Callithrix jacchus: one gene and its partners. The protein of the gene in region 1 interacts with the protein of each later gene in a pairwise test. Links are inferred from orthologs where the notes say so. Each region holds a gene or a part of one and is shown on either strand. Other genes may lie near its edges.

What was found.
Region 2: the proteins of SHC1 (region 1) and SHCBP1 interact in a two-hybrid assay, tested with the Homo sapiens proteins (2 studies listed by BioGRID, with this or other methods). The link is inferred for Callithrix jacchus from reciprocal best matches to the Homo sapiens genes SHC1 and SHCBP1.
Region 3: the proteins of SHC1 (region 1) and INSR interact in a two-hybrid assay, tested with the Homo sapiens proteins (2 studies listed by BioGRID and IntAct). The link is inferred for Callithrix jacchus from reciprocal best matches to the Homo sapiens genes SHC1 and INSR.

Annotation. Positions count from the first base shown.
Region 1 is NC_133519.1:15,376,842-15,385,899, reverse strand, and holds SHC1 (SHC-transforming protein 1), read left to right. Parts: upstream 1-91; 5' UTR 92-312; coding exon 313-807; intron 808-1,405; coding exon 1,406-1,476; intron 1,477-2,012; coding exon 2,013-2,076; intron 2,077-2,230; coding exon 2,231-2,350; intron 2,351-2,585; coding exon 2,586-2,639; intron 2,640-2,811; coding exon 2,812-2,863; intron 2,864-3,045; coding exon 3,046-3,172; intron 3,173-3,707; exon of another isoform or gene 3,708-4,308; coding exon 4,309-4,486; exon of another isoform or gene 4,487-4,564; coding exon 4,565-4,634; exon of another isoform or gene 4,635-4,715; coding exon of another isoform or gene 4,716-4,718; coding exon 4,719-4,850; exon of another isoform or gene 4,851-5,001; coding exon 5,002-5,414; downstream 5,415-9,058. Other genes in the region: uncharacterized protein LOC128930128, read right to left, coding at 8,882-9,058. UniProt on the Homo sapiens protein: Signaling adapter that couples activated growth factor receptors to signaling pathways. Participates in a signaling cascade initiated by activated KIT and KITLG/SCF.
Region 2 is NC_133521.1:3,956,996-3,966,730, forward strand, and holds part of SHCBP1 (SHC SH2 domain-binding protein 1), read right to left. Parts: intron 7,629-9,735; coding exon 7,497-7,628; intron 4,268-7,496; coding exon 4,149-4,267; intron 1-4,148. UniProt on the Homo sapiens protein: May play a role in signaling pathways governing cellular proliferation, cell growth and differentiation. May be a component of a novel signaling pathway downstream of Shc. Acts as a positive regulator of FGF signaling in neural progenitor cells.
Region 3 is NC_133523.1:6,877,203-6,887,678, forward strand, and holds the start of INSR (insulin receptor), read right to left. Parts: upstream 6,876-10,476; 5' UTR 6,387-6,875; coding exon 6,287-6,386; intron 1-6,286. UniProt on the Homo sapiens protein: Receptor tyrosine kinase which mediates the pleiotropic actions of insulin.

The DNA of each region.
Region 1 (9,058 bases):
GCACTGTCCTCCGGATTGGTCTCTCTCCTTAGCTCCCCGCCCCCAGGGAGGAGCCAGGCAGCTCTGGGTCCAGCCTGTTCTCTTCTCAGCCAGAGAAGAGGCTCCACGTTGGGCGGGGATGGGGCCTGAAACTGTCTGGGTCTGAGCTGGGGAGCGGAACCCACTTGTCCCTCTCCCTCCCCAGGACTTCTGTGACTCCTGGGCCACAGAGGTCCGACCAGGCTAAGGGCCTGGGGATACCCTCTGCCTGGCCCCCTTGCCCAAACTGGCAGGGGGGCCAGGCCGGGCAGCAGCCCCTTTCTCACCTCAGCTATGGATCTCCTGCCCCCTAAGCCCAAGTACAATCCACTCCGGAATGAGTCTCTGTCATCGCTGGAGGAGGGGGCTTCAGGGTCCACCCCCCCGGAGGAGCTGCCTTCCCCATCAGCCTCATCCCTGGGACCCATCCTGCCTCCTCTGCCTGGGGACGATAGTCCCACTACCCTGTGCTCCTTCTTCCCGCGGATGAGCAACCTGAGGCTCGCCAATCCGGCTGGGGGGCGCCCCGGGCCTAAGGGGGAGCCAGGAAGGGCAGCCGATGATGGGGAGGGGATCGTAGGGGCAGCCATGCCAGACTCAGGCCCCCTACCCCTCCTCCAGGACATGAACAAGCTGAGTGGAGGCGGCGGGCGCAGGACTCGGGTGGAAGGGGGCCAGCTGGGGGGCGAGGAGTGGACCCGCCACGGGAGCTTTGTCAATAAGCCCACACGGGGCTGGCTGCATCCCAACGACAAAGTCATGGGACCCGGGGTTTGCTACTTGGTTCGGGTGAGTGAACATTCTCTCTTCCACTCCCTCCCAGCCCCCGCCCCCCCCCCCCCCCCAGTTCTGCTCACTCCAGCTTGGCTGGAATCTCTTTTCTCCTGCTGTTCTACAACCCCGTTTCAGTGTCCTATTTCCTAAACCTTTCCCATCCCTTCCCTGATTCTGTAGTCCCTTCCCTTCCAGCTCTGCCTGAGCCCCCTTCCTTCTTTTGACTCCCCCACCCCCACCTCTACCCTGCCATGCTTAGCACAATGCCCAGCATGGCAGAAGCTCTTAGTAAGTGTTGGAATGAGTGACTTATTGATCCTCCCCTCCATTCTCCTCCTGCTTTCTGGAGTTGTCACTCCATCCCAGCCAATGCCTGTCGGTCCCCTCCAAACTCTCTCCCCAGTGCGAGGTCCTTCTTTCTAGCCTGCCTTTCTTTCTCTCCTCATTCCCTGTTGTCTTTCACCTTGATTGTGGGATGTAGCCACGGGAAGTGGGCAGAACCTCTCCATCTCTACTTCCCTTAAGGACCATGTGGGCAAAGTCCTAGGGCCCTTTGTGAAGGGGCTGGGGTGGGGGAGCTGCTGACCTGCTGTCCTCCCCTCCTTCCGCTTAGTACATGGGCTGTGTGGAGGTCCTGCAGTCAATGCGTGCCCTGGACTTCAACACCCGGACTCAGGTCACCAGGTTAGTGGGGAGGGAGTGGATTGGGGGAGTCCCGGGGTTAGTGAGGCCACAGGAAAGGGAGGAGGGGAGTGGTCACTTGAGTGCTGCTGGTGGGGGCTGATCTTTGGGTAGTGGAGGGGATTGAGAGAAAGCTGGTGGTAATTCTGTATCTTACTGAAAGGAGGCCCCTCTGGCCTGGATCCTCCTTACCTATCCATCCTTGGGAGTTGTGGGGAAGGTGGCAGAAGCAGCTGGCAGGTAGAGCTGGAGTAGAAAATGGGGGTAGATGGAAGGTTGCTGCTGCCTTTGGGAAGGGAATGGGACATTTGGTAGCTGGAAGTGGGTGGGTCTGTACCCATTGAGGCCCTAACCCAATCAGCCAGGAAGCGGCCTCTCAGTGTCATCAAATATTAAAGGCCCTTAATTCAATCCACCACGACAAAGAGCCTGGAGTGCCCTGGGAGTCTGGCCTGGCTTTCCCCTCCCCCAGCCCTGTGGCAGCCCCAGCTGAGTGGGAAGCAGGCAGGCACTGGGTCTGAGTACCCCTCTTTCCCCAGGGAGGCCATCAGTCTGGTGTGTGAGGCTGTGCCGGGTGCTAAGGGGGCGACAAGGAGGAGAAAGGTATCTGGGGTCCTTGGGGATAGGGATGCAGCTGGGAGATGTGAGGGGCAGGGGGAAGGCAAGTGTGGGGCATGTGGGGGAAGGCCAGAAGGCAAGAGTGTGGTTTGCCGGAGCTGGGAACCCTCACCTTCTGAGACCCTGGGCCCTACCTTAGCCCTGTAGCCGCCCGCTCAGCTCTATCCTGGGAAGGAGTAACCTGAAATTTGCTGGGATGCCAATCACTCTCACCATCTCCACCAGCAGCCTCAACCTCATGGCCGCAGACTGCAAGCAGGTTGGTGGAGTTGGGCAGGGGGACTAGAAACACTGGTGGGGGTGCTAAGGGGAGATCTAGTTAGGAGGCCAAAAACTAGGAAGAGGGCTTGAGAGCAAGAGACCAGTAGGGACGGAGGAAGTGAGGATATGGGATAAGGAACCCAGAGAATGAAACTGGGTGTGAGGGTTCTGGGCCCTGAGGCGCCTGACGCATGGCATTCCCTTCCTTCTTCATCCCCTGCCCTGATTCTCAGATCATCGCCAACCACCACATGCAATCTATCTCATTTGCATCCGGCGGGGATCCGGTGAGTTGGGGAACAGAGCAAAGGTGGCGGGAGAAGAGCAAGGGGCTAGGGATTGGGAAGACATTTATTAGAGAAGTGGGGGTGCTAGGATTGTGGGGATATCTGAAAAGGACGGGGTTTTAGGGGTTAGGAGTAAAGTGGAGCTGTAACATTTTCTGACCTTCCTCCCCAGGACACAGCCGAGTATGTCGCCTATGTTGCCAAAGACCCTGTGAATCAGAGAGGTGAGGCATGGTGGGGAGCACTGGGTGGGTCCGGCTGTTTGAGGAGATGAGCGGGACCTGGGGTCTGCACCCGCTTTTGCTAAGTAGAGCTAAGTAGGGGTTCCTGCTGAGGAAGATGAGGGCCCTGTCTATGCCTCCTCCCAGTGGGCTCAGCTCAATGACCGCCTCTGCTGTGCCCTCAGCCTGCCACATTCTGGAGTGTCCTGAAGGGCTTGCCCAGGATGTCATCAGCACCATTGGTCAGGCCTTCGAGTTGCGCTTCAAACAATACCTCAGGAACCCACCCAAACTGGTCACCCCCCATGACAGGTGAGCAGGTGGGGAGGATGTGCAGCAGCTCTTAAGCCCCAGAACAGGATTGGGAAAGGAGGGCTGCTCTTCCTACACTTGAGCTGAGAGGCTTAGGGAGGGAATAACCTGCGTGCCTCTGCTTCCCCCTTCCTGTGATTCTTCCATTTCCTGTGGCCCACAAGGAAAGACTCTTGAGGCCCTGCTTGCTGCAGGGCCAGCTTTTCCTCCTGTTGCTCATGGTGGAGCTGCAGTCTGAGGCATCCAAGTTACATCTCTCTCTCTGGCTAGATGAGATTTTTCTACTCCCATCCCTCTTGCTTGCCCATTTCTCTGACACTCTGTATTTTAATGCTTCCAGAAGCCATCAAGAATTTGGGTTTGTGAGGATATCTCTTTTCCCTGAGATTAGTGTTTCCCACCTCTGGCCGTGAGGGATAAGCAGTGGCGCCAGGAGGGACTGATTAGGAGAGGTTAAACTATTCTGTAGTGCCTTCTCCCCACCTCACTACATAATGCTTCCCTTCCTTGCTGGCAGATAGCACAGTGATCAAGGGCAAGAGCATTACTTTTTTATTTTGAGACAGAATCTTGCTGTGTTGCCCAAGCTGGAGTTCAGTGGTGTAATCACACAACTCACTGCAGCCTCCATATCCTGGGCTGAGTGATTCTCCCACCTCAGCCTCCTGAGTAGCTGGGACTACAGGTGCATGCCACCACACCTGGCTAAGTATTATTATTTTTTTGGTAGAGGCAGTCTCACTACGTTGCCCTGTCTGGTCTTGAACTCCTAGGCTCAAACAACCTCCCTCCTTGGCCTCCCAAAGTGTTGGGATTACAGGTATGAGCCATTGCACCTGCCCAAGGGCATAAGCTTTAAAGTCAAACCTGAATTTAAATCTGAGTCTGTCACCTTTTAGTTGTGAGACCTTGGGCAAATCTTTTCACCACTGATCCTCATTTGCCTCATCTGTAAAACTAGGAAAGAAAACAATACCTATCTTATGGGGTTGCCAGGAGAATGAAATGATTAGGTATATAACACACTCAGCCTCAGGCCTAACCCATAGTAAATACCGAATACATGGCTGCTGTTCCGTTCCCTCCTCCTGCCCACCACACATTTACGGCCACACCTTCACTGTCCTGTCTCTCAGGATGGCTGGCTTTGATGGCTCAGCTTGGGATGAGGAGGAGGAAGAGCCACCTGACCATCAGTACTATAATGACTTCCCGGGGAAGGAACCCCCTCTTGGGGGGGTAGTAGACATGAGGCTTCGGGAAGGAGCCACTCCGCCCACTGCCCAGACCCCCAGCCACTTGGGAGCTACACTGGTAAGTTGTTTGGATGGAGGCCTAGGGTGGGAGTGGCTGGTTAGGGCCTCTGGTTCCACCTTATTTTCATCCTTGCAGCCTATAGGACAGCCTGTTGGAGGAGATCCAGAAGTCCGCAAACAGATGCCACTTCCACCACCCTGTCCAGGTATGAAGGGAGCCGAGATGGGCAGAGCTGGGGAGTCCTGGAGGCAGGACCGGGATCACTGTACAGCCTCCCTTTCCTCAGCAGGCAGAGAGCTCTTTGATGATCCCTCCTACGTCAACGTCCAGAACCTAGACAAGGCCCGGCAAGCAGGGGGTGGTGCTGGGCCCCCCAATCCTGCCATCAATGGCAGTGCGCCCCGGGACCTATTTGACATGAGTGAGTGCTCCTCTCTCCTCTCTGCATCCCTATCTTCCTACTTGGTTCTGGCCCTTCCCCTGCCTATATCTGCTCTTTCCTTCCCTGAAGTCTGGGTCTTGGGTGTGTATTGTGCCTGCTACCTCCCCTCACCCTCTCTCTACACCTCCAGAGCCCTTTGAAGATGCTCTTCGGGTGCCTCCACCTCCCCAGTCGGTCACCATGGCTGAGCAGCTCCGAGGGGAGCCCTGGTTCCATGGGAAGCTGAGCCGGCGGGAGGCTGAGGCACTGCTGCAGCTCAACGGGGACTTCCTGGTGCGGGAGAGCACGACCACACCTGGCCAGTATGTGCTCACTGGCTTGCAGAGTGGGCAGCCCAAGCATCTGCTACTGGTGGACCCTGAGGGTGTGGTGAGTATGGCAGAGGTGAGGGTGAGGGGTGGCAGAAAGGAAGGTACAGTACCCTACAGTGCATTCTTGTTCCTTCCCCCATTGCTTTCTAGACATTTCCTGCTGGGCAGCTCTCTGTGGGCCTCTCTGCTCTTCAAGGTGTCTGGCATCTTCCTCCAGGGGCTTATCCCTTAGCCTGAACTGTGTCCTTTATAGTCCTGGCACAGGGCCAGGCATGGTGGCTCACGCCTATAATCCCAGCACTTTGGGAGGCCAAGGTGGGCAGATCACTTGAGGTTAGGAATTTGAGTCCAGCCTGGCCAACATGGTGAAACCCAGTCTCTAGTAAAAATATAAAGATTGGTCAGGCACAGTGGCTCACGCCTGTAATCCCAGCACTTTGGGAGGCTGAGGTGGGTGAATTACCTGAGGTCAGGAGTTTTGAGACCAGCCTGACCAATATGCTGAAACCCTGTCTCTACTAAAAATACAAAAACTAGCCGGGTGTGGTAGCCTGTACCTGTAGTCCCAGCTACTTGGGAGGCTGAGGCAGGAGAATCGCTTGAACCAGGGAGGTGTAGGTTGCAGTGAACTGAGGTGACACATTGAGGCTCTGTCTCAAAAAAAACAAAACAAAACAAAACAAAAACCTGTGTGTGGTGGCACACAGCTGTAATCTCAGCTACTCAGGAGGCTGAAGCAGGAGAATGGCTTGAACCGGGAGGTGGAGGTTGTAGTGAGCTGAGATCACACTGCTGCACTCCAGCCTAGACAACAGAGTGAGATTCTGCCTAAAAAAACAAAACAAAACAAAATAAATACAGCCCTGGCTCCTCCTCAAATCTCCAAGCCGTAAGCTTATCAGAGCTAGAAGGCAGTCATCTATATCATCTGTGCCCCTCTTTTGACAAATGAGGAGACCACTCTGAAGAGGTTGTGATGCCCAAACTCAGATGGTTAGAGGCTAGACACTGCAAGTTTCCTTTTGTAAGAAGACCCACGGGCTTCCCCAGCTCCCCAGACTCAGGACTCAGACCCTTGTGCTTCCCCTTACCTGTACTGCATTACTGTTCCTCCAGACTTCCGTTGTTTAGCCACGTGTGGTGGCTCCAGCCTGTAAGCCCAACATTTTGAGAGGCTGAGGTGGGAAGACAAGCCTGGGCAACATAGCGAGACCTGGTCTCTACAAAAGTAAAAAAATAAAAAATTAGTCAGGAATGGTGAAACATGCCTGTAGTTCTGGCTGCCCAGGAGGCCGAGGCCTTGAGGATCGCTTGAGCCCAGGGGTTCTAGGTTACAGTGAGCCATTATTGTGCCACTGCACTCTAGCCCGGCTGACAGAGACCCTGTCTGGAAACAAAAAACTTTTGTTTTCTACAGTAATCTCACCCTCCTTTCCTTTTTCTTTTTTTTTTTTGAGATAGGGTCTCACTTTGTCACCCAGGCTGGGGTGTGTTGGCACAATCACAGCTCACTGCTGCCTTTGCCTCCGGGGCTCAAACAATCCTCCCACCTCAGCCTCCCACCTCAGCCTCCCAGGTAGCTGGGACTACAGGCATGTACCACTATACCTTGCTAATTTTTTTTTTTTTTTTTTGTAGAGATGGGGTTTTGCCATGTTGCTCAGGATGTTCTTGAACTTCTGGGCTTAAGTGGTCCACCTGCTTTGGCCTCCCAGAGTGCTGGGATTACATGTGTGAGCCACCACTCCTGGCCTCCACATCTTTTTTTGCACTGTGTATACTCTTCTGAGACATGCCAACTTCCTCCAGGTCAAGAAAGGGGTATATAGGTCTCAGCTTCCCTGTTTCAGGGCTGATGCCTCCTTTGCCTTTTCCCACTTCACTGACCTGTCTATTCCTACAACTCTTTTTAGAGAAGCCTCAATGATCAGGACTGACAGGCCCCTCCCTCTCCCACCATTTTTTTCTCCTTTAAGCCTCTCACACTCTTCCACCTTGGAGGATGAGGTCTTGACTCTTCACCTGAATTGCCTACCTTCCTTCCCACCCTCCCAGGTTCGGACAAAGGATCACCGCTTTGAGAGTGTCAGTCACCTCATCAGCTACCACATGGACAATCACTTGCCCATCATCTCTGCGGGCAGCGAACTGTGTCTACAGCAACCTGTGGAGCGGAAACTGTGATCTGCCCCAGTGCTGTCTTCCAGAAGATGCCCTCCAGTCCCCTCCACCCTATTCCCTAACTCTCGGGACCTCATTTGGGAGTGTTCTGTGGTCTTGGCCTTGTGTCAGAGGTGGGAGTAGTGTGGACACTGGGTTTTGTATCCAGCTGAGTGAGAGGGTTTGAGTCAGAAGCCAGGGGGAGAATCCTACTTCTCCCCAAACATTAATCACCAAAGTATTAATGTACAGAGTGGCCCCTTACCTGGGCCTTTCCTGTGCCAACCTGATGCCCCTTCCCCAAGAAGGTGAGTGCTTGTCATAGAAAATGTCCTGTGGTGACAGGCCCAGTGGAATAGTCACCCTTCTGGGTAAGGGGGAACGAATCACACCTCTGGGCTTCAGGGTACCCCAGACTCCTCTCAACACCCCCCCACCCCCATGTTTAAATTTTGTGCCTTTGACCATCTCTTAGGTCTGAAGATATTTTATGCAAAGAGTTCTTGGGCCCCTGAGTTCAATGACAGGGATGCCAACACCTTCTTGGCTTCTGGGACCTGTCTTCTCCTTGCTCAGCATCCTCTCCGCTTTGGGCTGGGAGAACAGAGGCAGGAGTGGCAGCTGTCCCCTCTCCCTGGGGATATGCAACCCTTAGAGATTGCCCCAGAGCCCCCCTCCCGGCCAGGGGGGAGATGGACCCCTCCCTTGCTCAGTGCCTCCTGGCCGGGGCCCCTCACCCCAAGGGGTCTGTATATACATTTCATAAGGCCCGCCCTCCCATGTTGCATGCCTGTTGTACTCTACAGCCAAAGTGTAGCCCTTCCTCCTCGAGCCTGTGCCCTGCCTCCCCTTTGGAATGGGGGGGTGGGGTGACGAATTTGGGCCCCTTGTACACGTAACTCTCCCAGGTGGATTTTGTGGAGGTGAGAAAAGGGGCATTGAAACTCTAAAGCAGTAGACAATCCCCAAATACCATCTGTAGAGTTGGAACTGCATTCTTTAAAAATTTTGTATGCATATATTTTAGGGCTGTAGACTTACTTTCTTAATTGTTTTCCATGGCTTATTCTTGAGCACAAAATGATAATCAATTATTACATTTATACATCACCTTTTTGACTTTTCCAAGCCCTTTTACAGCTCTTGGCGTTTTCCTCGCCCAGGCCTGTGGGGTAACTGGGATCGGCAGCGTTATCTTTTAGACCAGAGACCTGAGGCAGATGAAACTGATTTCCAGATAGGACTAGAAAAACTTGGGCCTCTTACCGCGAGGCTGAGAGGCAGGAGTTTGCCCGAATGCCTGTCAGTTTCACGAAGGGGAAATGCAAAAGCTGCAGGTCCTGGGTACCTCCTACAAGCCACACCAGAGCAAGCCGGCCCCCCTCCTTCGGCCTGCGGATAAGGGAGAGCTGATCGTTTTCATCCTGGCCTCCTTTTGTTGTTGTTTGGATGTTTCCACGGGTCTCACTTATACCAAAGGGAAAACTCTTCATTAAAGTCTGTATTTCTTCTACCTCGGCCTCAACCCTTCTGAGAAGCCTATTGTGTTCGCCGCGGGCCCTCAGCGGCAGACGGGGAGGGAGACGGGAGGTCGCGGCCGCCGAGGGAAGCTGAGGGTCTGCAGAGTTTGGGCGCGGCAGGGTGGGGCGTGTCGCGCCCCCGTCTCCGTGGGGATGTCCTGTCCGCGGAGGGGGTGGCTCTGGCGCCCCCACGCCG
Region 2 (9,735 bases), on another chromosome or scaffold:
AAATCTGACAATGTAGAAGAGTCCAATACCACAAAAAGCACAAACTACCAAAATGTACTTAATATAAAATACATCATTTGAATACCCTTTTAACTATTAAAGAAATTGAATTCATAATTTTAAAAATTCCAAAAGAGAAATCTCCAGGCACAGATGACTTCATTGGCAAAATCCATTAAACATCTAAAGAATGAACAGCAATTCTACACAATCTCTTCTACAAAATAGAACACTTCAGTATTCATTTTATGAAGTTATTATTATCGATAATAAAACCAGATAAAAACTGCAGTACAGAAAACCAAAACTAGAGACCAATATTCATGAATATAGATGCAAAATTTTCTCCCAAAAGATTAGCAAATATAATTCAGCAATATCTAAAAAGAATTTTATACCATGACCAAGTGGGGTTTATGCCACAGAGGCAAGGCTGGCTCAAAATTTGAAAATCAACCAATGTAACTCACCATTTTCTTTTTTCCAGTAAGAAAAATCATGTGATCATATCAATCTATCCAGAAAAAAGCATTAGAAGTCAGTATATTCCTGAGAAAAGAACTCAGAAAAAAAGAAGTCAACATCCATTTATGGTAAAAATTCTCAAAAAAAAAAAAAAAGAAAAAAGAAAAAGAAATAGAGCGGTAATTCTTCAACTTGATAAAGAATATCTAAAAACCTGGTCAACCTTATTCTTTTTGATGCAATACTAAATATATTCTCTCTAATACCAAAAATAAGGTAAGAAAGTCTGCTTTCATAGTGTTGGAAATTCTAGCCAGTGCAATAAGGCAAAGGGGGAAAAAAGGCATAAAGATTAGGAAAAAAAAAAACCTCCCCTTCTTTGCAGATAACATTACTCTCTCTATATAGAAAATTCTAAGGAAGCTACAAAAACATTCCTGTAAGTACAGTTCAACAAAGTCATAGGATATAGGAGAAACATATAAAAATCAATTATATTTCTATATACTAGGGACACTGAAATTAAAAATATCACTTACGGCCAGGTGTGGTGGCTCAGGCCTGTAACCCAGCACTTTGGGAAGCCAAGGCACTCAGACCAAAAGGTCAGGAGTTCAAGACCAGCCTGGCCAACATGGTAAAACCCTGTCTCTACTAAAAATACAAAAATTAGCTGGGTGTGGTGGTGTATGCCTATAATCCCAGCTACCCAGGAGGCTGAGGCAGGAGAATCACTTGAACCCGGGAGGCAGAGGTTGCAGTGAGCAGAACCCACACCATTGCACTCAAGCCTGAGCAACAGAGAAAGACTCCTCTCAGAGAAATTTATATATCACTCACAATCACTCAAAAAAGTGAAATAATTAGGTACAAATCTAACAAAACACATACAGCATTTGCATGCTGAAGACTACACAATGCTGATGAAAGAAAACAAAGATGTGGCTGGGTGCGGTACCTCATGCTTACAATGCCAGCACTCTGGGAGTCTGAAGCAGGAGGATTTCGAGTTAGAGAACAGCCTGGGCAACATGGAAAGACCCCATCTCTACAAAAAATAAAGTAAAAAAATTAGCTTGGTGTAGTGGCATGCACCTGTGGTCCCAGCTACTTGAGAGGCTGAGGTGAGAAGATTGCTTAAGCCCATGAGACTGAAGCTATGCCATGAGCCATGTTCACGCCACTGCACTCCAACCTGGGTGACAGAACAAGATTCTACCTCAAAAAAAAAAAAAAAAAAAATCAGAGATTTTAAACAAATGGAGAAATATGTTGCGTTAAAAGACTGGAAGGTGTTAATCCTTCTCAAATTGACATATGGGTTTATTAAAATTCCTATTTGTGGATATAGACAAAATTATTCTAACATTTGAATTAAAAAGCAAAAGAACTAGAGTGGTCAAAACAATTCTGGAAAAAGCAAAGTAGGACAAATCACTCTACCTGATTTTAAGACTTAATGTAGAGCTACAGGTATTGGTGGAGGGATAGCTGCACAGATGAGTGAAACAAAATAGGAAAAGAAATGAACTATGACCTAAACCTTATACTGAAATTAACTAGAAAATTAACCTTATGTAAAATATAAAGCTATAAAAATTTTAGGAAAAATAGCATAAAATCAGGATCTATGGCTAGACAAAGAAATCTTATCAGCAAAAGCTCAACTGATAAAAGGAAAAACTGATATACTGGAATTCATCAAAATAAAATACTCTGCTCCATAAAAGCCCATATGAAGAAGGTGAAAAGACAAGCCACAGAGTGGCAAAAAATATCTGCAAACCACATACCTGACAACGGACTAGTATCTAGAATATATAGAGAACTCTCAAACCTCTACAGTAAAGAAGAACAAACAATCCAATCAGAAAATGGGGCAAAAGTCATTGATATTTCACTAAAGAGGATATAAGAGTGAGAAATAAGCATATGAGAAAATCCTTGACATTATTAACAACTGAGGAAATGACAATTAAAACAACAATGAGATATTACTACATATTTATTAGAATGGCTAAAACAAAAAATAGTCAAAACATCAAACGCTCTTGAAGACATAGAGAAACTGAACCACTCAAACACTGCTAGTGGGAATGTAAATGGTACAACTACCCTGGAAAACATTTTAGCAGTTTCTTTAAAAAAAACTAAACATGCAACTACTATATGACCTACAGCTGCATCCCTGGGCATTTACTCCTTAAAAAATAAGAACTGACGTATCCAAGACTGAGTAATCTATAAGAAAAAATTAATTAATTAATTAATTTTAAAAAAATTAAAACTGTCAGCTGGGTGCAGTGGCTCGTGCCTGTAATCCCAGCCTGTTGGGAGGGGGAGGCAGGCGGATTGCCTGAGCTCAGGAGTTCAAGGCTAGCCTGGGCAACACAGTGAAACCCCATCTCTACTAATATACAAAAAAAAAAAATCAGCCAGGTGTGGCAGCATGTGCCTGTAGTCCAGCTACTTGGGAGGCTGAGGTAGAAAAATTGCAAGAACGTGGGAAGTGGAGGTTGCAGTGAGCCCAGATCGCACCACTGCACTCCAGCCTGGGCAACAGAGCAAGACTCCATCTCAAAAAAATAAATAAATAAATGTTAAAAAAAATTTTTTTAAATAAAAACTGTGTTCACACAAAAACCTACACCCAAATGTTTATAGCAGCTTTACTGACAATAGGACAAAACTGGAAACAATCTAGACATCCTACAAGTGACTAAACAAACTGAGGAATAGTACACACATTGGACTATTCAACAGTAAAAAGGAGCAAGCTACTGGCACCTACAACAACCTAAGTGAAGCTCCAGAGAACCATATTAAGTAAGAAAAGCCAATCCCAAAGAGTCACATACTGTGTGATGCCATTTTTACACTTTTGAAATGATGAAATAAATAGAAATGAAAAACAGCACCAGGCACAGTGGCTCACACCTGTAATCCCAGCACTTGGGAGGCCAAGGCGGGTGGATCATGAGGTCAGGAAATCGAGACCATCCTGGTCATGGTGAAACCCCATTTCTCCTAAATACAAAAAATTAGCCGGGCACGGTGGCATGCGCCTGTAGTCCCAGCTACTCAGGAGGCTGAGGCAGGGGAATGGCTTGAATCCGGTAGACGGAGGTTGCAGTGAGCCAAGATCGTGCCAGTGCACTCCAGCCTGGCAAAAGAGCAAGACTTAGTCTCAAAAAAAAATAAAAATAAAAACAGCTTAAAGTGTTCTTGCAGTTAAGGAAGAGGTTGGTAGGAGAGAGTGAGTTTGGCAGCATGAAGTGTTCCTTTGGTGATGGGAATATTCTTCCGCTTGACTGGACTGATGTCAGTATTCTGGTTGTGGTGTAGCAGGACAGTTTCACAAGATGTTACTGTTAGGGGACACTGGTGAAGGGCATCATGCTGGACCTCTCCCTGCTATTTCTTACAATACTGTGTGAATCTACAATTACAAAGTTATAATTTTAATGGTCTAACCCTCTCTTAAAGCTAAATAAAGCAATTGTGAGATTTATTGCTATGGTTTGAAAATGCTACATGAGAAGACCCTTGCACAGTTGAGTTTGACTGACTTGGTAGAGATGACTGGAGAGTAGGAGTACGCACATACATCTTGGTCCCATATTTCATTTATTCATTTACAACTTAAACCCAAACTACTTCCCTAAGAGGACAAGTGTTTCTACCTTGGCACCATATAAATCCGAGTTCTTCATCAGAAACTCTGCTGATGTCCGCACTGTGACTCCGGTTGTCTCACACTGCAGCACACAGTTTTCCAGCGTAGTCTTTCCACGGTGAACAACTGTGATGAAAATACACACTGACTGCTTTAAGATGTAATGTGCCTTTTCCAGTATTAGAGATAGCCTGATGCTTACATTAGATGTGGACTAAATATTTCTCAAAATCTACCATTTAAATTTTCTTACCTAAATTACAAATTCATAAAATATAAAATGATGATGATTTTTAGTTACTTTCTACAATCTAGAAGCAACATTCTTTAAAAAGAATGACTTGAGCTCAGATACAAAAAGACTTTTCATTACTAGAAAAAAAAAGTATCAGAGAACAATTTTGCTGAGTATCTCAGAAGAAAAAGACCTTGAATCAAGAAACGGGATACAAAGATTCCAGTAAACAAACACTACTGCCATGTGGAGATAACTTCAATCTAGTGCTACCCTGAATACAGAGAACACAGACCACAACACTGGAAAGTTTTAAAAAAAAAGTCACTGCACAGAAAAGAAACTAACATTAACAAATTATCATGAATAGGTTTAGTTTTCACTTCAAGGTTAAGTTTGCTAAGTCGTCACACTATGCACATAAACAAATAATTTTTTGGGCCATGCATGGTGGCTCACACCTGTAATCCCAGCACTTTGGGGAGGCCAAGGCGGGCAGATCACCCAAGATCAGAAGTTCAAGACCAACCTTGCCAATGTGGTAAAACCCTGTCTCTACTAAAAATACAAAAATTAGCCATGCGTGATGGCAGGAGCTTGTGATCCCAGCTAGTGGGGAGGCTGAGGCAGGAGAATAGCTTGAACCAGGGAGGCAGAGGTTGCAGTGAGCTGAGATCACACCACTGTACTCCAACCTGGGCAATAGACCAAGACTCTGTCTCAAAAAATTAATAATTTGTGTTTATACTGATGAGCATGTGCATTTATACTAATGAGTAGCATGTTTCTAATGTGTCTATTAAGTGTACAAAAAGCATTATGTTCTTTTAAAATGTGTACATCTTAATTTAAAATACTTTATTTTGCTAAAACATGCCAACACTCCTCTAAGCCTTCAGCAAGACATCATCTTTTTGCTGGTGGAGGGTCTTATCTTGATGGCTGCTGACTGATCAGAATGGTGTTTGCTGAAGGGTAAGGTGGCTGTGACAATTTTTAAAAGTAAGACAACAATGAAGTTTGCCACATTGACTCTTCCTTTCATGAAAAGACTTCTTTGTAGCATGTGATCTTGTTTGATAGCACTTTACCCACAGTAGACAGTTGTTCAAAATTGTAGTCAATCCCATCAAAGTCTATCTCTGCTTTACCAAGTTTACATAATATTCTAAATCCTTTGTTGTCATTCCACCATGTTCACAGCATCCTCCCCAGGAGATTCCATCTCAAGAAACTACCTTCTTCGCTCATCCATAAGAAGCAACTCCTCAACTGTTCCAATTTTTGTAAGATCGTAGCAATTCAGTCACGTCTTGAGGCTCTACTTGGTATCATCAGGCTCTTGCTATTTCCACCACATCTGCAGTTACTTCCTCCATTCAAGTCTTGAACCCCTCAATCATCCATGAGGGCCGGAATCAATTTCTCCAGAACTCCTGTTAATGTTGATATTTTCACCTCCTCCCATGAATCAAATGTTCTTAATGACATCTAGAATGATGAATCCCTCCCAAAAAGTTTTCAATTGACTTTGCCGACCCATCGGAGGAATCACTATCAATAGCTGCTATAGCCTTATGAAGTATATTTCTTATGTAGTAAGGTTTGAAAGTCGAAGTTACTCCTTGATCCATGGGCTGCAGAATAGATGTTATTAGCAGGCATGAAAACAACATTAATCTCCTGATACACCTCTATCATAGCTCTCAGATGGCCAGATACATTGTCAATAAGCAATCATATTTTTAAAGGAATCTTTTTGTTTTCAGTAGTAAGTCTCAATAATGGGCCTAAAATATTCAGCAAACCATGTTATAAACAGATGTGCTACCATTCAGGCTTTGTTGTTCCATTTCTAAGGCACCGGCAGAGTAGATCTGGCATAATTCTCAAAGGCTCTAGGATTTTCCAAATGGTAAATGAGCGCTGGCTTCAACTTAAAGTCACCAGTTACATTCATTCCTAACAAGAGAGTCAGTCTGTCCTTTGAAGTTGTGAAGCCAAGCACTGACTTCTCTCTAGCTATGAAAAGTACTAGATGGCATCTTCTTCCAATAGAAAGTTATTTCATCTAAATTGAAAATGTGTTGCTTAGTGTATCCTCCTTCATCAATTACCTTAGCTAGATCTTCTGTAACTTACTATAGCTTTTTCATCAGCACTTGCTGCTTCACCTTGTGCTTTTATGTTATAGAGATGGCTTCTTTCCTTAAACCTCATGAACCAACCTCTACTATCTCCAAACTCTTCCTCTACAGCTTCCTCACCTCTCTCAGCCTTCACAGAATTGAAGAAGTTAGGGTTCTGCTCTGGAATAGGCTTTGATTTAAGGAATGTGGTAACTGATTTGATCTTCTATCCAGGCTACAGAAACTTTCTCCATATCAGCAATAAGGCTGTTTCACTTTCTTATCATTAGTATGTTCACTAGAATAGTGCTTTTAATTTCCTCTATGAACTTTTCATTCACATTCTTAACTTGGCCAACTGACACAAGAGACCTAGGTTTTAGCCTGTCTCAGTTTTCAACGTACCTTCCTCACTAAGTTAAACATTTCTAGTTTTTTAATTTAATGTGAGAGACAGGTGACTCTTCCTTTCACGTGAACACATAGATGTCATTGCAGGTGTATTAGCCTGTCTAATTTCAATATTGCTGTGTCTCAAGGAATAGAGTGGTCCAAACAGAAGGAGATAGGGGAATGGCTGATTGGCGGAACAGTCAGAACCCACACAATTATCAGTTAAATTCACCATCTTATATGGATGTAGTTCATGGCACCCCAAAACAATTACAGCAGTAACATCAAAGATCACTGGGCACAGATCAGCATATCATCTGTAATTTTTTTAAAAGGCTTTCAATACTGTGAGAGTTACCAAGATCTGACACAGAGACACAAGGTGAGCATATGCTATTGGGAAAATGGTCCCAACAGACTGGCTGGAAACAGGGTTGCCACAACCTTCAATTTGTATAAAACTCAGTATCTGTGAAGTGCAACAAAACAAGGTATATCTGTACTCGAGTGGCATTTCATTAAATTCTATCTTCCATAGAGAGTACAGTTTTCCTTCAAAGCTTAGAAGAAACAATACATCAAACATTCAGATACTTACTTAAGATCCCCTCTACCGCATTGTGCTGAACAAATTTTATGCCTGAGATTTTAATATCAGCACCCGTGCAGTCCACAAAAGTGTCACCTTTGCCCCTCTCTTCTATCACAATGTCATCTGGTAGCCCATATCCTAAGAAAGAAAGAACAAGAACACTTAAGATGGGTGAGGAAAAACATCTAAATAAGAACACTCTAGAACAGGTTTCTTGAGTTCAAATGACTGCAGATGATGAGACCAGTCAACCATGTTGTATTTAAATAAAATCTCTCCCTACATATTCTGTTTGATTTAAACCATGGTATCCAATTTTTAACAATCACCACTCTCTGACTAGTCCCCATATCAAGATGACTACCCTATCAACTATCTCACATCAGCTCAGCACTAAATTCACTTACAAAACTGCTGTAAAAAATAAATAATGTTCAAGACCAGCCTAGGCAACACAGTGAGACTCCATCTCTACAAAAACTAAAAAAAAATTAGTCAGGTGTGGTTGCATGTACCAATTACTCACTACTCAAGGAGGCTAAAGTGGGAGGGTCACTTGATCCCAAAATGTTAAGGCTGCAGTAAGCTATGAGCATGCCATTACACTCCAGCCTTTACTCTGGGTGACAGAATGAGACCTGGTCTCGAATGAATGAATCAATGAATGGACTTACAGTTGAGTCAAAGAACTTGAAAGCATTCACCCTTAGAAGTTTGCTTCTAACATTCTATGATTCTAATATAAATTACATTTGAATAAACCTAAGCAGTTCTCAAGATGATCTAATTTTAATATTCTCTTAAACAGTTGGCTTTAAATCTGACAAACTGACTACTTACTAGAAAAAAACAGTCTACCTCATTAACAAATAAAAAGCATCAGATAGAGGCTTGGCATAGTGGCTCACACCTGTAATCCCAGCACTTTGGGAAGCCGATGCAAGTGGATCACTTGAGGTCAGGAGTTCGAGAGCACCCTGGACAACATGGTGAAACCTCGCCTCTACTAAAAATACAAAAATTAGCTGGGTGTGGTGCATGCCTGTAAACCCAGCTTCTCAGGAGGCTGAGGCAGGAGAACTGCTTGAACCTGGGAGGCAGAGATTGCAGTGAGCTGAGATTGTGCCAATGCACTCCATTCTGAGTGAGAGTGAGACTCCATCTCAGAAAAAAAAAAAAAAGCATCAGATCTCGGTCAGGCACAGTGACTCACGCCTATGATCCCAGAAATTTAGGAGGCCAATGTGGATGGATCACTTGAGGACAGGAGTTCAAGACCAGCCTGGCCAACATGGAGAAACCCTGTCTCTACTAAAACTACAAAAATCAGCCAAGCACGGTGGCAGGCACCAGTAATCCCAGCAACTCAGGAGGCTGAGGGAGGAGAACCACTTGAACTTGGGAGGCAGAGGCTGCAGTGAGCTGAAATCACACCACTGCACTCCAGCCTGGGCAACAGAGTGAGACACCATCTCAAAAAAAAAAAAAAAAAAAAAAAAAAGCATCTGATCTCTATAAATCTTACTCAAACCAAAAATGCAGGCTAAACAGCTGAGTGGGCTTACAAAAAACTGGAGTATCAGAAAACTAAAGAACTCAGTTGACTTCCATTGTAAAACAGAACCACAGAGACAAAGCTATAAGAAATAACTCTCACTGTCTACAGATGAGTCTTTGAGTAAATGAAAGCAGTAACTGCATTTAACAAGCAAAGCCACTCAATTTATCTACACTTGAAGAGAACAAACAAGGCTTTGGGGGTCCTAGAGAATGCAAGAGGACTCCACGCACTGGAATGCTACCGGGGTGGACTCTGGATGTCTGGATTATGAATGATTTTGTTTCTGATTTTTGTATGTATCTGCCTGTACTTTCCATATTTTCTACAATAACCATTGTTTTTTATCATCAGAAAAATTAAAAGTACAGTAAGAATTGCATATTGAGAAAAAATATTTTTACACAAATTTTTTATAATTACATATTCCTTTCCACTTCAAACATAAAACCATCACCTAAATGAATGGATTTTCGAAACAAGAAAGAAAACCTCTATTGTAAGTACTATTAACACTCTGCACATAGTAGGTACTCCACATATATCTCTTGTTATACATGTTAGCTATAGATCACTATCAGATGAGCTTGAATCTTACTCATAATTGAGTACCCCACCTATGCACACTAGAGATACCATCTGATTCCATATATACTGACAGTATATACATCTGTATATAATGTTAGT
Region 3 (10,476 bases), on another chromosome or scaffold:
TCTGTATCCTAACTGTGGCAATAGCTATACCACTCTACACTTGGCTTAAAATTCATAAAACAGTACACTTTAAAAAGTCAATTTTGCTGTAAGTTCTTTCTTTCTTCCTTCCTTCCTCCTCCTCCTCCTCCTCCTCCTCCTCCTCCTCCTCCTCCTCCTCTTCTTCTTCCTCCTCCTCCTCCTCCTCCTCTTCTTCTTCTTCTTCTTCTTCCTTCTTCTTCTTCCTCCTCCGCCTCCTCCTCCTCTTCTTCTTTTTCTTTTTCTTTGATGGGGTCTTGTTCTGTCACCCAGGTTAGAGTGCAGTGGCTTGATCTTGGCTCACTGCAACCCCCACCTCCCTGGTTCAAGCCATTCTCCTGCCTCAGCCTCCCCAGTAGCCGGGATTACAGACACATGCCACCACACCCACCTAATTTTTGTATTTTTAGTAGAAACAGGGTTTCACCATGTTGGCCAGGCTGGTCTTGAACTCCTGACTTTGTGATACGCCCGCCTCAGCTTCCCAAAGTGCTGGGATTATAGGCGTGAGCCACCACACCCGGCTCAGAAGTATTCTCAATAGAAATTAACACAAGGGAGGCTTGAGAAAAAAAAAAATCTCATGACATACACCACTTCCTTTTGCATTCTAGAAGCTGGGCTGAAAGGGTGAAATCCTCATTCAATGCCAATATAGCTGTTTAAATAAATTGTAAGTTCATACACATAGCTAGGTAGGAAACATCACTGCCATCTTTCTCATCCTTGGAATCCGTATATTCAGTGCAGCAAATGATACACATTTCTTTAACATGTCTTGCGGTGTAAAGAGAAAGACAGCATTTCATTTCACTCACTTCATTCAAGTGGTACGAGTGACCACACAAGCTATCATGAATGAAACCTCAAGGCCTCTGTTCCAGATCAGAGGTCAGCAAACATTCTCTGTAAAGGGCCAAAGTGTAAATATTTTGGCTGTGGAATTCCTGTTTTAACTGCTCAACCGGCCGTGGTGGGGCATTTTTGTGCAGCCATCGATGATGAGTAGATAAATGAGTGTGACTGCATGACTGTAAAACAGCATTTACAGAAACCGTGGGATTTGGCCTGAGGGCCATAGTGTGCTGACCCCTGTCCAGATGAAGTTGGACACCATAGTAAATTTCTTAGCTGGGTGGAATGGCTCCTCATGCCTGGAACCCCAGCCCTGGGGAGGCCTAGGAGGGAGGACTGCTTGAGCTAGGAATTCAAGACCAGCCTATGCAGTATAGCAAGACCCTGTCTCTAGAAACAAAAACATTTTTTTAATTAGCCAGGCATGGTGATGATTGCCTGTGGTCCCAGGTACTCAAGAGGCTGAGGCAAGCAGGTTGCTTGAGGCCAGGAGTTCAATTCAGTCTGGGCAACATAGCAAGATTCTGTCTCTACAAAAAAAAAAAAAAAAAATTTAAATTAGCTGGTCATGGCAGTGCCTGCCTGTGATCCTAGGTACTTAGGAGGCTGAGGCGGGAGGATCACCTGAGTCCAGGAATTCAAGACCAGCCTGAGCAACAGAGCAAGACTCTGTCTGTACAAAAAACTTTTTTAGTTAGCTGGGTGTGGTGGCGCCTGCCTGTGATTCTAGTTACTTGGGAAACCTAGGTGGGAGGATTGCTTGAGGCCATGAGTTCGGGGATGCAGTAACTAGGGCTGAACCTTTGCCTCCAGCCTGGGTGACAGAGTAAGATCCTGTCTCTAAAAAGAAATAAAAATTTAAGAAAAAAAAAAAAGTGAGCTTAGAGAAGAGTAAACACTAACCCTCTGGGAAGAGAGAGCCAACATCTTAGCCCAGGTAGAAGGAGAAAAGCACAGTAAAACTAAAGAACCCAGGTGCAGGTGAGAACGTGACAGGAGAGAGCCTTCCAGGAGGAGGGATTGGCAAACCCAGAGGGGTCAAGTGAGGTGAGGCCGCAGGAGACGAAACTGAGAGATGAGAGATTACCTCTGAGAGCCATTGGTGAAGTGGCGGAGACGCAAGCCAGACACCGGGGGCTGAACGGTGGGTAAAGAGTGAGATGGCAAGGGCGGGGAGGGCTGACAGAGGGAAGCTGGACAGGGTGGAGGCTGGAAGTCAGTGGTGGGTAAGGGGGATTGGGGGATACTGGGTGTTAGAGGTTGAAAAAGCATGTGGGTAAATAAATTTTTTTTTTTTTTAGATGTAGTCTCACTCTGTCACCCAGTCTGGAGTGTAGTGGCTCAGTCTCGGCTCACTGCCACTTCCTCCTCCTGGGTTCAAGAGATTCTCCTGCCTCAGCCTCCTGAGTAGCTGGGATTACAGGTGCCTGCCACCACGCCCAGCTAATTTTTGTATTTTCAGTAGACAGGTTTTCACCATGTTGGTCAGGCTGGTCTCCAACTCCTGACCTCAGGGGATCTGCCCGCCTTGGCCTCCCAAAGCGCTGGGATTATAGGTGTGACCCATTGCGCGCAGCCAAAGATTCCTGAACAAAGAGAGGAGACAGAGCAAGAGCCCAGATGGGGAAATGTCTCAGACAGGGAAAAGGTTAACTCCTCCAGTGCAGTGCTTGGCAGTGTCTAGAGACATCTGTGGTGTCATGACTGTGGGGAGGGGATCCTACCAGGACCAAGTGGGTGAAGACCCGGGTTGCAGCTCAGTACTCTACATACAGGCCAGCCCCCACCACCAAGAATGATCCAACCCCCAATGTCAGCAGTGCCCAGGTTGAGAGCCCTGCTTGAACCACAGAAGAATGGAAATCAAGGACGGAGTGGGGTGAGGTGGGGACCCCAGGGGACCCAGCCCACACCCTCTGGCCTCTATGCATAAGTCTGGAAGGGCAAGATGGAGGTCTCCAGGAGAGAAGCAAAAGGTAAGAATAACTGCAGAGGCCAGGCACCATGACTCATGCCTGTGATCCCAGCACTTTGGGAGGCTGAGGTAGACGGATTATTTGAGGCCAGGAGTCTGAGACCAGCCTGGACAAAATAGCAAGACTTCATCTCTACAAATTAATAATAATTTTTAAAAACTAGCTGGGCATGGTGGCATGCAACTGTGGTCCCAGCTACCAGGGAGGCTGAGGTGAGAGGATGGCTTGAGTACAGGGAGGTCGAGGCTGTAGTGAGCCGTCACTGCCCGACTGTGGCTGCATTGCAGCCTAAGCAACAGAGCAAGACCCCATCTCAAAAAATAAATACAGTAAAACAAATAGATAGCTAGACCAATAGAGACAAAAATCACACTGATTTTCCTCCACCCTTCATGCCAATCAAAATGCCATATTAGAGCCGGGATTGGTGGTTCATGCCTGTAATCCCAGCGCTTTGGGAGGCCAAGGCAGGCAGATCACTTGAGATCAGAAGTTTGAGACCAGCCTAGCCAATGTGGCAAAACCTCATCTCTACTAAAAATACAAAAATTCGCCAGGGGTGGTGATACACCCTGTAATCCCAGCTACTCAGGAGCGTGAGGCAGGAGACTCACTTGAATCTGAAAATTGGAAGTTGCAATGAGCAAAGATCTTGTCACTGCACTCTAACCAGGGTGACAGTGAGACCCTGTCTCAAAAAAAAATGCTGGGCATGGTGGCTCATGCCTATAATCCCAGTACTTTGGGAGGCTGAGGTGGGCAGATCACAAGGTCAGGAGATCAAGACCATCCTGCCTAACATGGTGAAACCCCATCTCTACTAAAAATACAAAAAATTAGCCAAGTGTGGTGGTGCTTGCCTGTACTCCGGAGGATGAGGCAGGAGAATCTCTTAAACATGGAAGGTGGAGGTTGCAGTGAGGTGACATCACGCCACTGCCCTCCAACCTGGGCAACAGAGTGAGACTCCCTTTAAAAAAAAAAAAAAAAAAAAAAAAAGTCTTATTGGTTGACATTAGAGATTAATGATCTGAAAAGTTCTTTGCCCCTCTCCAAGCCTTCAAGAGGCGTCACGCCCGTTTATTTGATAGGATTTTGTTCACCATTACCCCAAGCATGGGAGGTATGGAGGCTCACACTCAAAAGAACAAGGATCTGTTAAAAAAAAAAAAAAAAAAAAAAAAAAAAAAAAAAAAAACCATTGCTCTGCAGCCACGCTAGCTAGATTGTAATGCCAGCCCTGCTGCCTGCTGGCCCCAAGTGGAGTTTTCTCACTTGTGAAAAGAGACGATTAAACTGCACCTCGTGGGGTTTTGTGGTGAGGATTAACTGAGATTATATATGCAAAGCACACAGAACAGCACCTGCTGAGGCCTTGCTCTTATAATTCTTAGAAAGGTATTAAGCAGAGAATGAGGAACTCCTTACGAATAAAGGCACCCAGTACACCCAGGGATTCCACCACCTGGGCTCCAAATATTTGCCAAACACCTACTATGTGCCAGGCACTGTTCTGGGCTCTCGAAATGCAGAAGTGAACACTGACAACAACAGCAAACCGTAAACCCCTGCCCATAAGGAAGCCATAACTGTGCAAATAAATGGCAAATCCATTTACTGATCCTGAAAGCGCAGGCACAGATCCACAATTCATCACCAAAGCTGCAAGGAACAGAAGAGCAAGGAACCACACATAGGCACACACAGAATTTGGCATAGTTCTTTTTTTTTTTTTTCTGAGACGGAGACTCTGTTGCCCAGGCAGGAGTGTAGTGGCGCAATGTTGGCTCACTGTAACCTCCAACTCCCAGGCTGATTCTCCTGCCTCAGCCTCCAGAGTAGCTGGGATTACAGGTGCGCGTCACCATGCCCAGATAATTTTTGTATTTTCAGTAGAGATAGGATTTCACCATGTAGGCCAGGATGGTCTTGATTTCCTGACCTCATGATCTGCCTGCCTCGGTCTCCCAAAGTGCTGGGATTACAGGCACGAGCCACCATGCCTGGCCTGGCATAGTTCTAAACCACTCTTCTTGGATTTTCTTAACAAGAACCCAAACTAACTGCCACCCTTCATTGAGCACCTGCTGTCTGCCAGGCCCTGGGGTGGTGGTGGTGGGGCTTTTAGACATTATGTAATTGATAGAGTCAACTCCGCAAACCCGGTTGGTCCACTCCAGCACCTCTGATTTCACATCTACCCCGTTCTCCCTCAATACATTAAGGAGCTTCAGTTCCTTCCCTCTCCGACCCCTTCCTCATCACCACTGATTTCCTTTTATGGAGAAATCTGCAACAGTGACACAACAAATATTTTTAAAGCAGGGTCTCAGACCCTACAGTGGGAAACCCAGGCTATATTCTCTTAAATGATTACTCCATCTTCATTCTACAACCGCAAAGGCGTCTTCAAGGAAGATGCTGCTCCCACGTGGGAGAGCCGGTGGGGGTCAGGGGGAATGAAAGGCTCTTTCATGAAGGGCAGAGCTGAGGGGAGAGGAGGCGTTAAGGAAACAGCAGGTGAAGGACAGTAGTCCAGATTCTTGGGCAGAACAGGGAGCAGAGAGATTCAGGTCCTGGCTCTGGCACTGACTTTAGGGCAAGGGAGCTATGCGTTTTACCTGAGCCTCAGTTCACTCCTCTGTAAAATGGGTGCATAACTGTAACCGCTTCCCGGGGCCACTGTGACAGTCCAGAGAGATAAGATAGACCAGCGTGTGGCCTGTGGTGACACCAATTACAATAAACATGGCCAAAAAAAAAAAAAAAAAAAACACGCCACTACTTCTGCCACAATTGCTGCTGTTTCTAAGGCTTTAGAATGTGCCTCGGGACATCTGGAAACAGAACCCAAAAGGGAAACCATGGACCTAGAGTCCGGGGTGGCCACTGGCCTAGATCCAAGATATCGGGATGGAGCTGGGGGCGGGTTCTACAATCCCCGACCCCAGGCAGCGTCTCCCACCAGTGAGGCACTCAGGGCACTTGGCTCCATCTACACCTTATGCGCTCCGGGGATGGGCTGTCCGGAGCTGCCCAGACCGAGTGACCCCACTTCGCAGCCGCCACCCAGAGAGGACGCGTGTGTTGTCTCCAGAGCGACTTGGCCTCGGAGAGACCGGGGCTCTGGTCGCAGGGGCGATCCGGAGAGGCGCCCGCGGCGGGGCGGGCACTGGGGCAAGGTTCCTCGGGCTCAGGTCGGGCACGCGGGGCGCGGAGGCACGAGTCCGGGCGGGCAAAGGCCAAGGTCAGCGGCTTCCCGCCCCGCACGCGGAGCAGAAGCGACCGCCCGAGCCACCGACCCCAGCCCCCCGTCCTCGGAAGGGGTCTCAGTCCACCAGCGGGGTGGGGGGAGGAGGGCTCTCTTTTGTCTCGGGTTGGGGGGGTCCTCTCCCCATCGCCTTGCTCCCCGCCCACTCCTGCGCCCCCAGACTCACCCTCTCCAGGGTACATTTGGCCCGCGGCGCCCAAGAGCAGCGCGGCCACCGCCACCAGCAGCGGCGCGGCCGCCGCCCCCCGGCGGCTCCCGGCTCCCATGGCTGCGGGGAGCTCAGGGTCTCCTCGGATCAGAACGCGCGGTGCGGACCCGCGGGGGTCATGCCGCAAGGCGGCCGCCCGAGAGGCGCTGGGGGCCGCGTGTCCTTCTCTTCCACGCGGGCGATCCGCGGGCCGCAGCGCCCCTGCCCGAGATCTGGGGTCCTAGAGGCAGCCCCGGGAAGGGCGCGCGCGCGGCCTCGCCCGCTACAAAGAGAGCTGGGAGGCCCCGCGGTAGCTGCCCCGACCCCCCGGCCGCTGCGGGCCGGGCCCCGTCCCACGATCTCGAGGCCCGGAGCTCTGCGCTGCGCCCGGGACTGTCTCCTGGCTTTCGGCCCCGCGCACTCTGGGTCGCGATCGGCGGGCTCCGGGACAGAGGGACTCGCGGACCGAGGGACCCGCTGCAGGGCGGGCGGGCACCTGGGCGGGCGAGTGGCTGGTGGCGGGCGGCGGGAGTGAGGGCTGCTCGGGCCGTAAACAAGGCGACCCGTCAGCTGGGCCCCTTGCGGGCCGAGGGAAAAGGCGGCGCGGATCTGGCCTGGGAAGGGACTGTGCGCCCGGGAGAGGCCCGGGAAAGGGAGGGAAAGCGGGGGGCCGGGGAGGGAGGTGGCGCCCGGCCCCGCCCCGCCTCCCCGCCTCCCCGAGCCGGGCCCCTCGCTGGAGGCCCTGGGCGCGCCTGGACCGAGGGGCCGCCCCAGATCCGCGCGCTCTACACCGCCCGAGTCTCCTCCAGCCTCAGACGCCCCCAAAGGCGCCCCACAGGCCTGACCCAGCGACATAAATCCTTTCTCTACCATTTTGCTCTTTTGTTCGGAGTGGGGCTTTGGAGGATTTCTGTTAATAATTTTAAAATACTGCATTAAAATATTTACGTTGGTGACTCGAGGTGGGTTCGGTTTTTTGTTTGTTTTTGTTTTTTGTTTTGTATGTGTGGTGTATTTGTGGGGGATTAAATTTTGCACCTCAGGCGAGTAGTTGTTCACTCACCGCCTTTCCCTCATCCAGGCCTGGCCAGACACACTCGTCCCAGAGCGGGTGGACGCTCCCAGATGTCCCTCCCGCGCGTGCGCCCCCACCCAGAGGCAAGACCCAAGTCAGGCCCCTGGGGACAGCCACGTGCCTGCGTGTCCAGTGCGCTCCCTGTGTTCAAGTTGGAGAAAGACACCTGGGAAAATGTGCAGAAGCTTCTGAAAGGGGAAAGACGATGCAGGAGACCTCGAATAGAGGGTGGACATGTCTGATTATCAGCAGACCAGCCTGTGTGTGTCTGAACGTCTAGCAATGTCAGTCACGAACAAGGCGGGACAGCGGTTCCACCCACCATACTGAAGGAGAGGAAGGGGCTTTCAGTGTAGGAAAGCCAGAACTCAGTGGGAAAAGGGTTCCTCCACCCCTCACTCCTGTGTAGTCTTGGACCAGCTACTTCACTATGTCCGGGCCAGTCTTGCTTCAGTGATGGGTTTGATAATACCTGTACACCAGATCTGGGAAGGTACCCGAGGGAGAAAACTTAAGAATGCACACAGCACAACCGTAGACCCAAGGCATTCATTCTCTTTATTTTTATTTTTATTTTATTTGAGTCTTGCTCTATCGACCAGGCTGGAGCGCAGCGGCTTGATCTCTGCTCACTGCAACCCCCGCCTCCTGGGTTCAAGCAATTCTCCCGCCTTAGCCTCTCAAGTAGCTGGGACCACCAGGCATATACCACCACGCCCAGCTAATTTTTGTATTTTTAGTAGAGACCGGATTTCACCATGTTGACCAGGACGGTCTCAATCCCCTGGCCTTGTGATCTGCCCACCTCGGTCTCCCGAAGTGCTAGGATTACAGGCATGAGCCACGGCGCCTGGACCGTTCTTCCATTATTAAAGAAATAGTTTGTTCAGAGCTGGGCCCACTCTTCTTGCAAAAGGCCAAACTTCTGGCTTCATCGCTGCTCCAAGGACTCATCCCTACCACATTTTGGAAATCCTCCCCCCAGTTCCCTGTTCCCTTCTTTTTTTTTTTTTTTTCTTTTTTCTTTCTTTCTTTCTTTTCTTTTTTTTCTTTTTTTTTTTTTTTTTTTTTTTTTTGAGAAGGAGTCTTGCTCTGTTGCCCAGGCTGGAGTGCAATGACATGATCTCGGTTCACTGCAACCTCTGCCTCCTGGGTTCAAGTGATTCTCCTGCCTCAGCCTCCCAAGTAGCTGGGATTACAGGTGCCCACCACTGCACCCAACTAATTTTTGTATCTTTAGTAGAGACGGGGTTTCACCATGTTGGCCAGGCTGGTCTTGAACTCCTGACCTCAGTTGATTCACCCGCCTTGGCCTCCCAACATGCTGGGATTACAGGTCTGAGCCCCTGCACCTGGCCCCTTCTCTCTCATTTTCATAGCATGCTTACCTCTCTGCCTGAAATTATTTTCTTCTCTTTTCTTCCTTCCCTTTCCTTCCTTCCTTGTCCTTTCTTTCTTTCTTTCGTTCTTTCTTCCTTTCTTTCTTTTTTCCAGAATCTTGCTGTCACCCAGGCTGGAATGCAGTGGTGCAATCCTAGCTGACTGGAGCCTTGAACTCCTGGCCAAGCAGTCCTCCTGCTTTGGCCTCCCAAGGTGCTAGGATTACAGACATGCGTCACTTTGATTGGCCTTGACATTCTTATTCAATGTGTTCTGTGTTTTCTCCTCTCCCATGAAGGCAGAAATCTTTAAAGTCTCATTTCACTGATTAAACTCAGTGCCTGGCATAGCTGTTGCTTAATAAATATTTGTTGAGTGGGAGAATCAACAAGCAATAAGTAATATGGGATTTTTCAGTGAGCAAAATCAGCATGATCCATTTCTTTACGAAGTTCACAACTGAGCTTAGGAGAGAGCCCTTAAAATAATTGAGCGTGTGATGAGTTGAGGGGAATAGGAGGGGCATAGAGAGGGATCCACTGAGGGCGGCTTTTGTTTGTTGGTTGGTTGGATTTTGAAAAATCACGCTCTGTCCCCTAAGCTAACTTCAGTGGTGCGATCTTGGCTCACCACAACCTCCGTCCCCCGGGGTTCAAGCAATTCTCCTGCCTCAGCCTCCTGAGTAGTTGGGATTACAGGTGCCCGCCACCATGCCCAGGTAATTTTTGTATTTTTGGTAAAGACAGCATTTTACCATATTGGACAGACTGGTCTTGAACTCCTGACCTCAAGAGATCCACCCTCCTCAGCCTCCTCAAATGCTAGGAGTACAGGCATGTGAGCCACCGCACCTGACTGAGGATGTGGTTTTCAGCTTAAGTCTGAAAATGAAGAGGAGCCAGCCTAGGGAAGCCATGGAGAAGTGTTTCAGGTCGAGGGAAAGGCATGAGGATAGGCCCAGAGGAGGGTGAGCAAGACATTCTTACAACTGAACCAGTCACTCACTGTAGCTGTAGAAAAGAAAGAGGAGACGCTGGGCGTGGTGGCTCACGCCTGTAATCCTGGCACCTTGGGAGGCTGAGGCAGGTGGATCATGAAGGTCAGGAGTTTGAGACCCCCCATCTCTGCAAAAAATACAAAAAATTAGCCAGGCTTGGTTGCATGCACCTGTAATCCCAACTTGGGAAGCTGAGGTAGGAGAATCATTTGAACCTGGGAGGTGGAGGTTGCAGTGAGCTGAGATTGTGCCACTGCACTCCAGCCTGGGCAACAGGAAGAGATTCAGTTTCAAAAAAAAAAAAAAGAAAGAATGAGGAGAAAGTGAAGCCATGGGTAAGAACTGCAGTGGAGCCTTGAACCATGAGTTTGAACAGTGCAGGTTTTTTTTTGTTGTTTTTTTTTTTTTGGCAAAGTCTTGCTCTGTTGTCCAGGCTAGAATGCAGTGGAGCTATCTCGGCTCACTGTACTTTCCACCTCCCAGGTTCAAGTGATTCTCCTGCCTCAGCTTCCCAAGTATCTGGGACTACAGGCACACACCACCACATCTGGTTAATTTTTGTATTTTTAGTAGAGACAGGGTTTCACCATGTTGGCCAGGCTGGTCTCAAACTCCTGACATCAGGTGATCTGCCCACCTCAGCCTCCCAAAGTGAGGTCATCTTTTAAGCAGAATGTTTTTCAATAAATATATTGGAAACAGTTTTAGAGATCTGCA